Styela clava: one gene and its partner. The protein of the gene in region 2 interacts with the protein of the main gene of each other region in a biochemical or structural test. Links are inferred from orthologs where the notes say so. Each region holds a gene or a part of one and is shown on either strand. Other genes may lie near its edges.

Region 1 (8,657 bases), on a different chromosome or scaffold from region 2:
CAATCCTGAAAAACTTGAACCAGTTGAAGCAGGTAACAATATTTATAAAGATTATATATTTAAACAAGAAGTGCTGCTATCATTTTATTATGCTTTATTTAAAATAGGTTATCAATATTCCAAATTTATAAGCTGTCAAATTGCCTTTTGTAATTGCTTGAATTAATTTGTATATTTTAAAAAATTCATACTATTCCTTTGTTTCTATTTCAGATTTGAAGAGCCCGGCTTATCTTCATTATTTACTCCAACTAAGGGAGACTTCTCAGTTCTCTGAACTTGGAGTGAAATTAATGAAAGGAGGAATGGACAAAATCTTCGATACATGGATGTTACAAGAGAGCGATCTTGTGCAGGTACTAAGTTTGTTTACTGTATTTTTTAGACTGTAAAAGATAATTGAATGACTATTTTCCTATCCTCACCGTCGTAGGGTGGTTCATGTAGCCGCTGGTCGGTTGCGCCTTCCTCCAACATCAAGCTCATGCATCTGGAAACAAAATATCTGGCTAACTAATCCCATACGAGTGGTAACCGGACAAGAGGCGGTGGTTCGCCATATGATTAAGTTGCGCTCTGCTTTTGAATATTTTACTCAAATGATTACTTATTGAATCTGTTTTTCATCCAGAATGCTGCAAGATCTTATGGAGAAAGGTTGATTAGCGAAAGGGTGAAGTTTACAATTGATTCTCCAGATACTCATTCATCACTCAAAACCATCTTATCAAAATTATATCACTTATTTTTGATTGATACTATTCAACGTGATCTTGGATGGTTTGCGGCAAATGAGGTCATCACGCCTTCAATAGCAAAGCAGGTAAAGTATCTTATATCGTACTTTCAACCATCTTTTAAAAGTGGGCTATTTCAGATAAACAACTCTGACTACATTCGGACCTGCAAAATCTTTAAGGTTCGAGTAACAAATTAAAAAGATGACTTTTTTTTACTTATCATAACTATGCATGGAAACAATTGAATTGCGTAATTATACCATACCTGACATGGTGACAGCAGGCTTGGCGGTGTGGCGTGTCGTGCTAAACATTAGGAATATGCTTCACATTGCACCTCTGATCATCCTGCGGTGGTTTCTGGACTCCTCACCGCCATAGGGTGGTTCATATAACCTGTGATCGGTTACGGCTTCCTCCACCATCAAGTTCATGTATCTCAAACAAATAAATGGCTAACTAATCCCATACCAGACATGGTCTGGTAATAGGGAGTCCGTGCTTCAGCATATGATTAAGCAATTTTATCAGTTTTCATATCCTCTGAGATAATATGTATTTCCTATCCTATCACTCATGTGTTTGACATACTTAAAACATTAGGGATTGCAGAATTAAATGGTTATAATATACGGTAAAATTAACTTTCTATACTCAGGTAAATGAAGTTGCAGCTGAAGCATGTCGAGATCTTGCACCTGATGCTCTTCATCTCTGTTCATCATTCAAATTAAGTGATGAAATGCTTTCTGCCCCAATCGCACAAGACTGGGTGGAATACAATGTGGGTGACAATCAGGGGGAATTGTCGAAGCTGTAATAAAGTTTCCCAAATTTATTGTATGGAGACCAACACATTTAATTTATATATCAAGTTGGATATCGATAACTGTATTATCTCATAGACCCAAGAGTTTCATATCAAGACCAGGATTAACCTCAGCTGATATACTGTAATTACTGTTACATCGAATAATTTATTTTCATTTTGCATTCTCAAAAGATTAAAATGTGGCGTGTTAGTGGAGATAATCCATACCTATTTACTTTCAGTACCCAACCTTAGTTCCCGCCTCTATGGGTTATATATTTCCGATATTTTTCGAGTGTGAATATGGTATAGTTTTCTATTTGGAATTCAGTGAAAATGCAATAGATCTAGTCAAGAGTTTCACCGTTTAATATTTGTTTATATTGTTTGATTGATTTAAATATATTAATTTTGCCTAATAGTGTGAGATGCTCACAAGTTGATGTTGGTGCCTCAGCTAGTAAAAGGTTGTGAGATTGAAAGGAAATAAAGCTGCAGCTTCGCACAGCTTTTTCACTCGGAAATATTGGTCGTCGCAATTGTTTTAATGGTAAACGCCTGATTGTATCGCTAAAAGATGGGAATTGACAAGAATAGTATTTTCTTGTGATAATCTTCTGCTGGGACCATTCCTGTCAAAATATGAATTGCAGTAATTTGATGGATCTTGATTTTTTCAATAAGAATATTTAATATCATCTATGTTAGATCTAAATGAAGAAGGTATAGCGGGGGGCTGTAATTGCACAGAAAATCTTCGGCGAAATATCGGTGCACCTCTAAATAAACTGGATTGAGCACCGCCATAAATTTACAATGCATAATAATGTATGCGGATGGGAAAACCCTACATTCCTTCGCATTTGTGGTGTGGTTGTCATGGAATAAAACGAACAAGATTATGCATATGTCTTGTTGCGGCAAATCGTTCGAACAACAGGGCATCGTCTATAATGGCACCAGTACCGTATATGCGGCATCGATACGTTTGGCCAATGAGCATATGTATATGTATATATGCTCATAGGTTTGGCAAATCACCAATCATGTTGCACGCGTGTCAATCATCTGAAAAAGACACGTCATATTTTTATTTAAATTTCTGGATATACAAGTAAATTTTGCTATAGAACACTAATATCAGAACTCTGGCTTCACGATGAACAAATGATGTATTTCCCCCGCACTCATTGAAATATCACGAGTGCGTATAGTTATTCATGAACGCACGCAAAGTAAAAAAATAACTCATAAATTGGTAAATCCTGTTACGGATTAATGAAACAGTTGAATTTAGTCAAATATCAATCTTTGAATTATTTTAGAATGCAAACACTGTGTGTAGGCGTACAAACAGCATCACGCCACTTATCATGAATTCAAAATGCATAATATGCTAATAAGTATCACGTGCGTGTCGCGTCTCGCAGGCGTTTGCGTCGGCATGGCTGGCATGCATTATGGTTTTGCTTCCTGGTGAAGATATTTTAGGATAATGTATTTTAATGTAGAGTACAGTAGTGTTTGGTAAACTTTTATGTTCAATACTCCGTGAGCGAGTTAGTTATAGTGTGTCATGTTTTGAACTCGAATTATTCATAAGGCTGTGAGGGTCGCAAAGGAACCAAAAATACCCCAGCCCACACTCGAGACGCTATCCCACACTCGTTTTTGACAGGCCATACTAGGGGTAACTGGGCCGGGCTTGGTATTGCATTTGCGTTGTGTATATCACATATGGTCTCTATATTGTCATAGCCACCAAGTTTTTTTGTATTAACGTTTATAAAGTGGTAAAATAGTTGGTTAACCCCTTGACGTCAGGCTGAGCGAGTGTGGGCTGGGGTAACTTTGGTGCAAAGGATGTTCAATTACAGCGGTAGCGAATGTAGGAATGAGAAATCTTGTGGCAGTTTCAACATAATATTCATATATTACATAAGTTTTCTGGTGAACCGATATAAAGTATATTTTCATGCCATCGTTGCTGTAGCCTGTAGCCCACACTTCCATTTTTGGTTGAGTCAGGCTGGATCAGTCAGGTGAGTTGAGTCACTCTGACACTGTACCTCATGCAGTCATGACATGCTGAAATGACGTTGATTGTGTGCATTGACTTTGGTGGTAAATACTAGATGAGTGAACACCGACCACTTTTAGGCAACAGATTGTTTATTTGAATTATGTAGCCTACCTTTTAAACCTCGCTCAAGGTTTTGTTTGCTCTACTGATTTTGTAATCAGTTTTTTTTTTTGCATGTTTTTATTAATTTAAGGTCTGTGATGCTGGTTATGGCAGTATGGAGTCTCAATAAAATTATACTTACAATGTTATTAGCCTCTCAACTACCGTACATAAATTAGTAATGCCGGAAATCCCACCATAAATATATATGTATGATTAACATTTGACTCTCTAACAGTAGGGCGCAGTTCTCTGATGTCCCAACATTTGGTTCAAATACACAAACTCACATATCAATGATCACCAATCAAATTTAGCACAATCTTGAAGTAAAAGAAAAAAATCAGTCTTCATAGAATATTTTAAGATTGACATGAATTGTATTGAACAACTCAATAGCTCAATGCTATCATTAAATAGTTTTAACAAATGCTCTTATAAACTATAATATTCTTAGATATGTTAAAAATGTGTTTTTTTTGCTCCTCCTCAAAACCTCAATTTGGATGATTTATTTAAAAAAAACTCATAGGGTCTCCCTAAAACCAGGCAATTTATAGGCAACGTTTCAAGTAATTTGATTATCTATTAATTTTACTATTTCATATCGATTTGAGTTCCATTTCATTTGCATTTTCATATTGCTGTATTGCAAGGAACAATAATATAAGTCGATCATTTTATCCAATACATTTAGAAATATTTTACTCTCAGTGGTAAAATACGGCATCCTTAGTATAAACTGATAAAATCTTGAAATTTCAGACATTTAAAAAAAAATATTCTGATTTTTTAGTCATAGAGAGTTGCCATATTTTTTCATAAATAATTTTTCCTAACACAAAGAGATATAGGCCTACAGTTTGTAAATTTATTGTTCATCTTCAGTTGTTTTTTTGCTTATTTAATATAATTGGGTGGCAACTGACTCTGATGACCCCCAAAGGTCAGATTGTTGCCCTCCAGTCATATACCGAAAACTATTTTTTTGGTATTTGTTTATGTGTGCATAAATTGTTTTCTTGGTTTGACAAAATGAAATAAACTCTCTCTCTCTTTTGAATCCACCCGAAATTGGCATATTGTCTGGTAAAATGTGGCAACTCTCAGCACAAAATCAACTTTGTATAGCAGAATATTTGTCTATATTATTTTGCATATTCTCTGCTTCTGAAAATTAGTAGGATAGTGATCAAAGTGCAATGTTGGTTATATGGTCAATTCTAATTACTTAGAGATTTATATCCTAAACTTATTGGTATTAGACTCCACTCTAGCTGTTCATTGCCAGTTTAATCATAAAATCACTAATCAAATATCAGTGATTAATATTTTCTCTGTTGCATTTTAAACAATTATGATAAAATTTGACCCTCATTCCCTTGTTACCCTGAGTTGTAATTACCCCTTAGCAATGCAGTAAATAAAATGTAAACACACCTTGTGACATGCAGTAAACTAGAGTGTGAACGAACACATAACATTTGTCATTCTCCCAGGGACTCAGGGTAACGAACGAAATAATGTTTTCTAAAATATGACCGTGAAATTTACCTCCTTTTATATAACTAGTATAGGCATTATAAAGAAGTTCATGCCATCTTAATTCATATGGTGTGATCTTGTAAAATTAGACTTGTAATTAGACACTTAAACTTGTAAATTTTCATTGTTTACATCAGCCATGCCATCTGGTTAGTTATTCTGTATTCCTATACCCCATTTAGTTCATGTTATGATGGAACTATTGTATCATTTTATTTTTAGTTGATAACTTTCAGTTGGAATATAAAAATATTATAATGAAGCTACTGGATTCTGTAGTAAAAAGTTTTCGAGTTGCCAAAGTTTTTCGTGAAAATAATGAAAAAATAAACAGCGTCGATTTTGCACCAAATGGTGAAAATTTGATATCAGCTAGCGATGACGATTCGATTGTAATTTATGATTGCTGTACAGAAGGAAAACCAAAGAGAACATTGTACAGTAAAAAATATGGTGTCGATCACATAAACTACACTCACGCTGGAAACACTGTAATTTATGCTTCAAACAAAGTTGATGACGCAATTCGATATCAATCATTACATGATAATAAGTATCTTCGTTATTTCACTGGACACACAAAAAGAGTAGTGACCTTAAGTATGTCCCCTGTGGATGACACATTCTTATCTGGATCATTGGACAAGACAATACGTTTATGGGACTTGAGATCTCCAAATTGCCAGGGTTTAATGCATCTCCCTGGCCGACCATGCGCTTCTTTCGATCCAGAGGGTTTGATTTTTGCAGCTGGAATAAATTCTGAAATGATTAAATTATATGATTTGAGATCATTTGATAAAGGTCCATTTACAACGTTTCGACTGACTCCTGATAAAGACTGTGACTGGACAAGATTAAAATTCAGCTCCGATGGAAAAATGATCCTAATTTCAACCAATGGTTCAACATTACGATTGATTGATGCTTTTCATGGCGAGCCACTCCAAACTTTTATGGGTCATATTAACACTAAAGGTTTATATTTAGAGGCCAGTTTCAGCCCAGATGCACAGTATATTCTATCTGGATCACAAGATGGTCGAATCCATGTTTGGAGTACTGAAGACGGAAGCAAGACGGCTGTTTTAGATGGAAAACATCCAGGCCCACTTCAGTGCGTACAATTTAATCCGAGATATATGATGATTGCGTCAACATGCTCTAACATGGCATTTTGGTTGCCTACTGTAGAAGAATAAAGATGATTCATTGACATAAAGGCATTGATAAGCCTTTTGTACTCCATACTGCCAAATGCGGATGAAAGCCGTAACGCCATGAGCACTTAGTTTGTTATTGTTGATAAAAACATTTTGAGTAAAGACAAAAAAACTTTTAGCTCCACGTTGGGTTCAGTACTTTAATTATTGGGTTTGACACTTTTATTGCTGTCGACTGTCACTGTTCATTTTTACTGAAAGCTGTCATGATTATTTAGATTTCATTTTTAGGTCAGCTTCCTATAAGCTTAGTGAAATCGAGACACTTTCACCTCAATGACTAAAGAACTCTGTTCCCACAGTTTTCCGTCTATGACTTGTTTTACAGTAAATTACGGCTGGAGTAGCTGAGTGAGTGACTGCTTTTATATGAGAGAGTCCTCAAAATATTAGTCTAGGCTGGAATGTCTCAGTTTATTGTTCAATTTGCTAGTATAATAACAGTTGAAAGATAGTTCATACTTTTTTGCTAAAATGTGAATCATATCACTTTACACTAACAAGTTTTGGCCTTAGTGAAACTAGGGAAAAAATGTCTCTCCCCCACTTCCAAGTATGATATTAGCCCAACCACCCCCCACTAGTCAAGTACGTAACAGGCTGAAATTCAAGGATAGCTAAAGTTATATAAATTATTCTGAAACAATATTTTGGATATAAATTTCGAATGTGTCTAAATTGTGTCTTGTTCATCGACGACTTCACTCAAATTTGTTAATACAGGATAGTTGGAATAAACATTACTGGGATTTATTCTTAATAAAAGTTAACTGAAGTCTATTTTTGTCTGACTATTGGATGTCAAATGTTTTAAATGATAGATGAAAATAATCCCCAAATCAATACTTAACTAATTTAAATGTATCCAATTTTAAATGTTTTTGATTCATCTTGGAAATCCCTGGACCTGATAAACTTATCCTAACTAGAGGATGCCCATGTTTATCCTTCTTTTAATATGGTTTGTGCAAGAAATGCTACAAGAACTACATGCTCTCTTTTGGATTATGCTAAAAATGTTTCATGATTTATTGGTGAACTGCTACAACTGAATATGCATGCTTTTATTCTGGAATTAAAATTGACTGGATTTTGAGCTCTTGGAAGTGTTTTACCTGTAATTCAGATTTGAACTTGCATTTTTTGTTGTGGACAGGCTTTATGCTTATGACCTTGGTGTTGATTGGAAAATCTTTTTTGCATATGAAGTCTTTCGTGCAAGTGATTTTTGTAGGGTGTAAAATTGTAAGTTGTGTTGCTGCAATTTCTTTTTACAATAAATTTTTTGCAGAATAATGACATAATATAAAGTATTTGATTAAAAGTGTGAGGGCCGAGGAGTGGCAAAATGAATTTAAGCAAGTTGGATTTATTCTACCGAAGGCTCATCTTAACAAAATTCTATACCAGAGGATGGGGTAAACCAGAAGAACTGCAGGAAATATTGAAGGTCCATGGTGTGATTTCCAACAGGGATTCATGTTTGGATTATGTTAATGATCACATATCTGAATCTAATGTGACCTTGGAAAATCCAGTCTCAAGCAATGGGTGCGTGACTGTCGATGGTAGTTTCGTTTCTCCAGTCTGTAAACTTTTACCCAAACTGCTACCAGAAGAGTGTAAGACGTCACACTTCCAAATGGTGTTACCTGCAACTCCAAGGAAATCCAAACCAGATAGTATTACTTCTTTGAAAAGAAGAATAAAACAACTTGACTTAAATCCGCTGTGCATTCATATGGCTGGAACGGGCGACCATGGGTTTTCTAGAAGACGAGAACTCATCGCTAAGCCGTTATTGTCGCATGGAATTTCTTCTTTATTGTTGGAAAATCCGTACTATGGTTTACGAAAACCAAAAGATCAATCTCGTTCCGGTTTGCTACATGTCAAAGACCTATTTTTAATGGGTCTATGCCTTATTTTAGAAACTCAAGTTCTGCTAAAATGGCTTGAAAAAGAAGGTTTTGGGCCGTTCGGTCTTACTGGTATATCAATGGGTGGACATATGGCTTCATTAGCAGCCACAACTTCACCTAAACCAGTCGCTGTTGTACCTTGCATGTCTTGGACTTCTTCTTCTGTAGTTTGGACAGAAGGGGTTCTTAGTAACGCCATACCATGGAGGGTGTTGGAATCTCAATATGCAA
Region 2 (8,522 bases):
CACCAAACATAAACAAACCTGGGATCATCTTGCGATGATTTTCTCCTTTCTTTTTTACCGTGATGATGATGATGTTGTTCTTTATATTTAATTGACATAGTAATGCCATCCTGCGTATGTCGAATTACATCGGGTATTGTTTCTGCCATCATCTCACCTCTCACTATCCGTTGGAAGAGCTTGTTCAGAATTTCACCTGTGTATGAGATACAAGAAAATAGTAAAACTAACCTGAATTGGGTGACAAAAATAATTTGTTTGGAATAGGAATTAGGAATACGGAAGGAGTTGGAGTCGTATTATGAAACCACCAAATTCAACCATATGAGCCAAAAACAAATTTGAGATCTTCAAAATCAAGTTAGAATTTCAAGACTGTAATGAGGGTAATTTTTTGACAAAAACTAAATATTTAATATACCTAATATCTAAATATCTAATATTTAAATCAACTAAGAATACTCATAAACCATACAGTAGGATTGGATAATTTTTATAGTCATTTGGTTTTCTCGTACTTAGGTCAAAATTTTCTTAAACCTGTTTTCATCCAGACGTTGGAAGTCGTTGGTGGAAATTTCTTCCACACTTTACAGCTCTAGTTAAATTTGCAAGTATTCAATCTTGCCTAAAAATTTGTAAAAGTGCAGCAAAAACATTTTATCCTAAATACATTGAAGATTATTCAATCCAAACTTTATTTTGAAAGTAATTAAATAACATATAGCCTACTACATATAGACATTCTCTTATTCGTATAAGATAAACAACAAAGATTAAGTACGAGCGCCTTAAGTGAAACAGACAACTACATATGAGCAGCGCCAGGGTTAGAATGATTAGTGAATAGGATTCACTCAACCAACCTTTACAGTCTATTTGTGCATGAATCACATTTCCCATGACTGAAGTCTGGTGGAGTTTCTTCACACATTCAGATGCGGACTTGATCGATGAAAACACAACCTGTGAAAGTGAACAACGAGATTAAACAGGATGCTCATAAACCCCTTTACAGTTTTGCTTTTGTTATTAAGTCAGTTCTCAATATATCTTATTAACCATGTTTTAATCAGGTATTTTTACTTCATTCAATACATCTGTGAGGGCCAAAACAATACGGCCCATGATATCCATAAATTCCCTATGCAATTTTAAAAAATTTCTAAGACTTCATGGACACCCTATATTTTTTTCAGGAAATATAATTTAAATTAAATACGATGTTCATTCATGTAGTTTGAATATTGATATAACTATGTTAGCATCTTTAGGTTGGAAAGAAATATTAGTTTAAGACTGGTCATCCATTAATCAGTTAGGTAGACTGTACCAAACCAGATGGACTATACACGAGATTAAGTGACAACATTGTTAGATGCGAAAGCAGTACAGTTACCATATCAAGTTTAAGCCTATTAAGCATTTTTCATTGTTACAGAATAATAGTCTATTTAAATAACAGTTCAGTTACACCATCATAGTTGAACATATCTTGCAAAGATTGCAAGTGTATAAAATCAGTAACACACCTTAGATAAACCCATGTGCTTTTGTGTCTTTGGGTGATGGTAAACCCTCACGCGTTCCAGTTTTCCAAACTTGATGCACATCTTTTCCATGAATTGTTTTGTGATGTTATCATTAAGACGAGAAAAAGTGACCTCACGAGGAGGAACAGCGCCAATGTACCACTCGTCAACCTGCCAAAATGTTGTAAATCGTTATAAATAGTTTTACATTGTTTTATCATAAGCCATAAGCAATTCAAATGTGGACAACAAATGGCTACAATTATTATTACAATCAGTAATCACCTTATATCGTGGAACAGGTAACTCACATCGCTCTCTTCTTGACCATAATCGATTCATCCTGGGTCGTGGATCTCGTAACACAACAACACCCTGTCCATGGTTCTAAGTGAAAAAAAAAATAAAATTTAAAAAAAAGATCTTTCAATAAAGATGGTTTCACACCTACAAAACACCCCTTTTTAGGAAGAATTAAAATCCCATTAACTTATCTAGTTACCGATATTATTAAAATATGTGGGTAAAATGCACAGTACATGAAAAAACAACCTTCAAACCACTCCATAAACTAGTGGTTTTAGTAACAAAAACAGTCTCCCATATTCAATAATGATGTTGAAACTATCAATCCTTACAAGTATATATAACAGTACAGATAGATAGAAATTAACAAAATATAGGATTGTTAGGAATTACGAAAAATCACTTATTTTTATCACTTATTATTAGGCCCAATTTTTTTATTTTTCAAATTCACGATTACATCTTCATATAATATTTAATATGATTCTTTTAACATTTAAAAAAAAAATTACTGCCATTGTGGTGGATAAATTGGACATTAGACTTCATATATTTGAGTATTGCAGTCATGTTAATAAGAATATCTAATACGCAAATTATATTCGTAGGCTGTAGCGCATAATTGCAGTACTCACAGATAATCACATTTAAATATGCAATACACAAGATAATGACTAGAAATTATTCAAAGAGGGTCATTATCCAGCTGCTAATAAGCATCATTATTATCAACAAATCCATACATGTTCATCTGCGATAGAAACACATGTCATGCATATGATATAGTCCATAAATATTTATATATATATACTTCCAGCTGCCAGCATAACATTGGATTGCAAGTTATGCAAACAGAATTTTTGTTTGTTTATGTACAATCAAGATATAACTTCATCTAAGAATCAACGATATCACTATCAACAGCAGAAGCATTTTATTATTATTAATAGATTTTGCTCAAATCAGAGTGGTAATTTTGCATAGGTGAAGAAGATTTTCATCAGCAAGCGTACTTGCAAGGCAGCCACTGAAATGACACGAGCTACTGAAACCATACATAGATTTAGTTTTGGTGCAGTACAGCACAGTTCTCTGATTCTAAGAATAGCATGGTGTGCATGTGGCGCATGTGCCGGCATGCCAGGTACCGTCATTTCAGTGACAAATATGGTGTTTGTATTATTGAACCAAATGTCAGGAATCAGGGAACTGTGCCCTGCTGTAGTATACATGCTACCCATCTGAAAAAATCCAAATACTGAAAATAGACCAAGCCAGAATAAATTCAGTTCAATATAAATAAATAAAATCAGTAATAAATATAGTGTCATGAATAAAATTACTGATTGAAACACTCACTTCTGTATTATAAGCAACTCCCTCATATCTAAAGAGTTTTTCTTCACCTCTTCTTATTTGAGGGTCGACCAATAATTTATAATCTTTTTTCTTAATTTGTTCAGCACCTACTCCTTGGATATGGTTTTCTTTCTTCACATCAGACATAATATTAATCCTTTATCAAAGGACTTGATAGACTGGTGAATCCATTTTTCTACACTATAGATAATTATTGACTTTAACAAAAGAAATATAAAAAATCAGTGTTGAATTGTTAACAAGCAACGTGCAAGTCTGCACTATAAATCTTTATACTCTCCATAGCTCTGTAGCCCCACATTAGAAGACATCAATTATAACAGTACTAACAGTTGGAGTTACGTGAAACTAACTACCTTTCCTTGCTCTATGCCTTTGCGCAGGTGGACCCAGATGCGTATAACGCTATAGCAAGAGTGAAAATGACTATTCTATTCAATTCAAGAGTCTTGCTGCACACTAACACAAATGTATTTCTGTAAGGTTTCGTCTGACCGAGGTCAGACTTCTTCTTTATGTGCATGCAATTGCGTTTCTTTTCACAGTTGTAAAATGCTTGTCTGAAGAAGTTTAACCTCGTACATTTGTGTTAGTGTGCAGCAAGACTCTTGAATTGAGTAGAATAGTCATTTTCACTCTAAAAATAATTAAAACAGGGACTGCAAACCCCTGTTTTACGAGATAGTCTGGACCTCCATACTGGCAAAAATCTGCAAATCAGCCCTGTCAACAAATTAATAGCGCAATTTAAAAACGCCACTATGGATTCCTTGGAAAATAAAAAAAATTGATTTACCAAAGAAAAAGATTTTTTTTCGTAGCATTCACGAAGTTTTAGTAAAAAAATGCAATTTTGGTCACATGACGGCCAACGCACGTCACAATTATTTCAGATTACCATTGAGACAAGCATGACGCATCTGCTGTCGTGTCATATGCCCTTGTTTCAGAGACAAAATAAGTGTTTGTTGCATTGAACTCAATGCCGGCACATCCTTGAATCCTGGAATCAGACAACTGTGCCCTACTGTAGCTAGCTCTTGATATTTTAGTTGTCGACCGCGTCTGAGTTAATGCGTGTGACCTTGCTTCGAACAAGTTTCCTTAGAGAAAAATTAGTGTTGTTAACACTAAAGATTTAAATTCAGAACTAAAGAATCAAAACAAACAAAACAATCACACTGGTGAGAAAGTGCGTTTGGTACAATATACTGATATGAGCAAATGGATCAGATACTTTGGCTGTTTGGTAAGGTTAATTAAACTATTTTCAACAAAAGTTGATGTGTAACTGACCAAAATTTCGTCCTGATGGTATAATAAATACAGGTATATCAGAAATACAGAAATAATAAATATGTAAATCATATCCTATAAATTAATTAGTAACTACAGAGCTAGAAGAACTGAAGAATAGATGAATTTGTAACCACAAAACTAATCTACATTATTCAGTGGCACCAGTCTATTTTCTGGTCCATTGCAATATCAAAGAGTCACAGTGTCATACCTTGTCTTTGTACAACTCGATGAAGCGCAGCCTAGAATTTTGAGACAAAAAGCCGCCTACATTTTACCGCTGCAACGGCGGTTTTGCCACAAACTTATAGCCTGGGCCTGTCTCAGAGCCAATCTACTCATGCCTCTTTGACTCACACTAGGAACTGGAGGATATTACTTACCTTACCTTGGCCATTTTTATCTTCAGAACAAGTGGTACAGCCATCAACAAAGCCATAGTTTTCACCGAGCCGCCATTAGCTCACTGCCACCATCTTGTGACGTGAACGAGAATGAAATTTAGTAGGATAGGAATAAAATTAAAAAATTCTATTATATCTGATTGAGATAGGCCGATAGATAGACCGATAGATCCAAAAAGAGGGAACCTAACGAAAATTAATTATGTGGCAAATAACGACCTTTCATCACGATACCACTACTATAAACTATCAGCCCAGATTGTTCTCCATGTTTGAAAAATGAAAATGACGATGTTGTTATTTTTTCAAACAACTTGTAGGGTTGTAAAAATGGTAGCTACTGCAATTTTATTTTCGCTTGGAGGTGAAATAAATACGTTTAATTACGGCTTAGCGGCATACGTCAAATGTGCTATGCGGAAATATCGTAACCAAGATTTCTAAAATGTTTGTTTGCCTTCGCAGTGCCTGACTAAAAAGCTTGGTTGTGATTGTGTACTGTGATCTATGTCCGGTACATTCAAACTGTATTGATGTGTGATTTTTTTGGACACTGAATACTTTTGGACACTTGTTGTCAGATGGTGTTGGAATTTCATCGCCTCTTATGCTGATTGTGAAATTCAAACATACTAATTGCCATATACAGTATATTCAGTCACATAATATCACGAATGGTAGAACATTCGGAGGCAAAATCGCGTTGCCATATACAGTATATTCAGTCACATAATATCACGAATGGTAGAACATTCGGAGGCAAAATCGCGTTGATGCTTTTATCATATTTCTACATATTTGGCTTAATATAGACAAAAACAAAGAAATGATAGATGTGGAATAAAATTGATCGATTGATGTATTATTATGGTATTATATATTTGTATTGAAAATCGTACATACAATGGAAGTTTTGGTTGCTCATTTGTTGATTTTCTCCACTACGAAGTAAACCTAACCCGGATAAAGAAGAAAGTCGTCCGTGTCTTGTTTACGCCACGTCTATATTCGGTAACATATATTTCTAATTTATAGTTCGCTGAGAAGGGTGAAAGCGCCACCGAAATTTGCAGTTGTGTATATAGATAAAAAGCTATAACAACACGGAATCAGAAGTTGTCATTACCAATAGTTATTGATCATCGCGGCACTGCAGTATTACCGGTATGGTAGGAAATCATGTCATAAACTTGGATTCAAAGTCATTAAGATTGCATTCTCCGCGAGATGCAGGAGGAATAGACAGAATCGTGAAAAAACAAAAAGGATCAAATTGGAGCAAGTTAGTTAACGAACTTTTGTTTTTTCAATAAATTTTCGGAGATTTCAGATTAACTGCTGATTGACAGCAATTCCATAATTATATTTTTCTGTTCTTGTATTAGTGGTTATCAATTTTTCATTGTTTACTTGCTACAGCAGTACCGTACAGTGCCATGTTATGCTTGCCTTGGAATCTGAATAAAACTTATACTTGTATTATTTGATGAGCAAATTAAGAGGTCATTTATCCTTTCAAAGTGATTTCTAATATATTTGAACAATTGGGTATTTGGCATGTTGTTGTAGCATTTCATGGTCGTCTAGCTGTAAATATAAAATATCTTCGTTCATTTTGCCTGTGATATCTCTGTATCTAGTGATATCCAGCTTGTTCTTTCTTAACAGATCAGAAGAGAAAACATGGATTGCGACATTATTTATTGGCACAACTATCCTATTTTCATCTCGCGTTGCTATGCCAGTGTGTGCTCCTGCAATGGCGAAAGAGTTCGGTTGGAACAAAGAGCATCTCGGTACTGTGATGGGATGCTTCTTTTGGGGTTATGCAATGACCCAAATATTTGGTGGATACATGGCTGATCGGTGAGTCACTGGAATGTCTATATCTGCGTATTTTCTTATTCAGGCTTCATCAGGAGACTTCATGTTACACATAAAATTACTTTGTGATTAGCGTATTTATATTTGTTATCTTCAGTATAATTGAAATTTATGTTCTCTGCTTATATGTTGTAATTTAATTTTGGTGAGATGTATGTCCAATTGTACTAACTGACAGTCATAGCTATTTATGTTTAATATTCGATTGTGTGATTTTCTTTCAATTGTGTGCAGTAACGCACTTCCTAAACTCGTATCATACCTTCTTAAAATACAGCATGTAAATATGAAATCAATTCTCTTACCTAATGAATACTATATTTCAGTATAGGTGGTGATCGAATGCTATGTATTGCTGCTCTTACATGGGGTACGGTGACATTTATAACTCCATATATTGCCTATTTATATGATGATCATACAGTTACGTTGCTGTTACTTGGATTGTTTCGAGTTATACTTGGATTATTCCAAGGTATGATAAAGAAAATATATGGCTTTTATTTTGATTGTAATTTATTCAAAATACAGATTCAACAAATTTTATAATATGATCACTTTAAAAATTTTCTTAACTTTATAATATAGTCTTTTTTGAATATCAGCCAGGGACATAGTTTGGAAAACCACAAGAGTTCAAACTCATTTTAGTGCAGTTTGTTATCTTAATTAATGTAACTCTGGTTTATTGAAAAGGCTCAATCATAATTATGCTTCATTATAGAGTTGGTGTAAAGATAGGCTCCGAAGTATGTGTACCAATATGAAGGTAATTTTGTTCGCCTATTCTACATCAAGTTACGTGTAAAAGGACTGACACCTATGGGCAGGGGTATGTTCACTTGGCTAACACAGATAGTCCCCGAACTCATAACTAAAATGAGGTAAATCGAAATAAAATTATGCCCCAAATCTAACCTGGTACACATACTACAGGAGTATCGAAAATTATTTTTTTAATTTTTGTATATCTTGAGCTTCATCTATATTTTCCCTGTTTACTGTTTTGCAGGTATGCATTATCCGTCAATGACAAGTTTAGTCAGCCGCAACGTTTGTGAGAAGGATAGATCATTTGCAATGGGTGTGACCTCCACTGGATCAAATTTTGGGTAGTTAATTGCTAGTATATTTGTTTTTTGAGCCAGTTCTGTAACTGTATTAAATACACTTGACCTAATTCCAAGTCGGATATCAAATATTTTTGACTATCAATTAGCGTCTGACCTGAAAAATATTTCCTCATTAAGGAAATGTTGTGTTACACACCCATTGACGAGATATTACATCACTGTGCTCATTTTACATTATAACTATAAATGTATATTGTTGTTCTTCACTTTTGGAACATGTACTGTCAAAAAAAACTTTCAGCTGTCTTACTCGTTTGACTGTGAGCTTCCATTTGTGTTATAGGCCTATATACTTTATAATTTGTGTTGCTCTTGAGTCTTGACACTCACTCAATGGTCAAGTAACTTCTCTCATATACATTTGCTTTTGAGTGAGTGCAGATGTCCTTTGCTTTGAGAAATTAGTTTATGAAAAATGTTGATGGATTATTCAAAATCCTGTTTTTTTTAAATATTTCAGATCTCTTCTTTGTGGTGGCATTGGATCAGTTATTCTTGAGTCACACGGCTGGCCAGGAGTCTTTTATTTTGTTGGATTATGCGCTTTCGGTTGGGTAATACACTCGTGGCAATTGTCTAAAACA

The links. The genes of interacting proteins can lie anywhere in the genome.
Region 1: the proteins of uncharacterized protein LOC120333780 (region 2) and WD repeat-containing protein 82-like form a complex in vitro, tested with the Homo sapiens proteins (2 studies listed by BioGRID). The link is inferred for Styela clava from reciprocal best matches to the Homo sapiens genes SETD1A and WDR82.

What each region holds. Positions count from the first base shown.
Region 1 is NC_135254.1:14,482,175-14,490,831, reverse strand, and holds WD repeat-containing protein 82-like, read left to right. Parts: upstream 1-5,479; 5' UTR 5,480-5,538; coding exon 5,539-6,483; 3' UTR 6,484-7,800; downstream 7,801-8,657. Other genes in the region: uncharacterized protein LOC120344988, read left to right, coding at 1-32, 214-356, 632-823, 1,399-1,560; protein ABHD18-like, read left to right, coding at 7,853-8,657. UniProt on the Homo sapiens protein: Regulatory component of the SET1/COMPASS complex implicated in the tethering of this complex to transcriptional start sites of active genes.
Region 2 is NC_135264.1:11,332,226-11,340,747, reverse strand, and holds the start of uncharacterized protein LOC120333780, read right to left. Parts: upstream 3,436-8,522; 5' UTR 3,345-3,435; coding exon 3,198-3,344; intron 1,920-3,197; coding exon 1,818-1,919; intron 1,704-1,817; coding exon 1,533-1,703; intron 967-1,532; coding exon 867-966; intron 197-866; coding exon 19-196; intron 1-18. Other genes in the region: voltage-gated purine nucleotide uniporter SLC17A9-like, read left to right, coding at 6,088-6,203, 6,590-6,787, 7,132-7,280, 7,818-7,917, 8,399-8,522. UniProt on the Homo sapiens protein: Histone methyltransferase that catalyzes methyl group transfer from S-adenosyl-L-methionine to the epsilon-amino group of 'Lys-4' of histone H3 (H3K4) via a non-processive mechanism.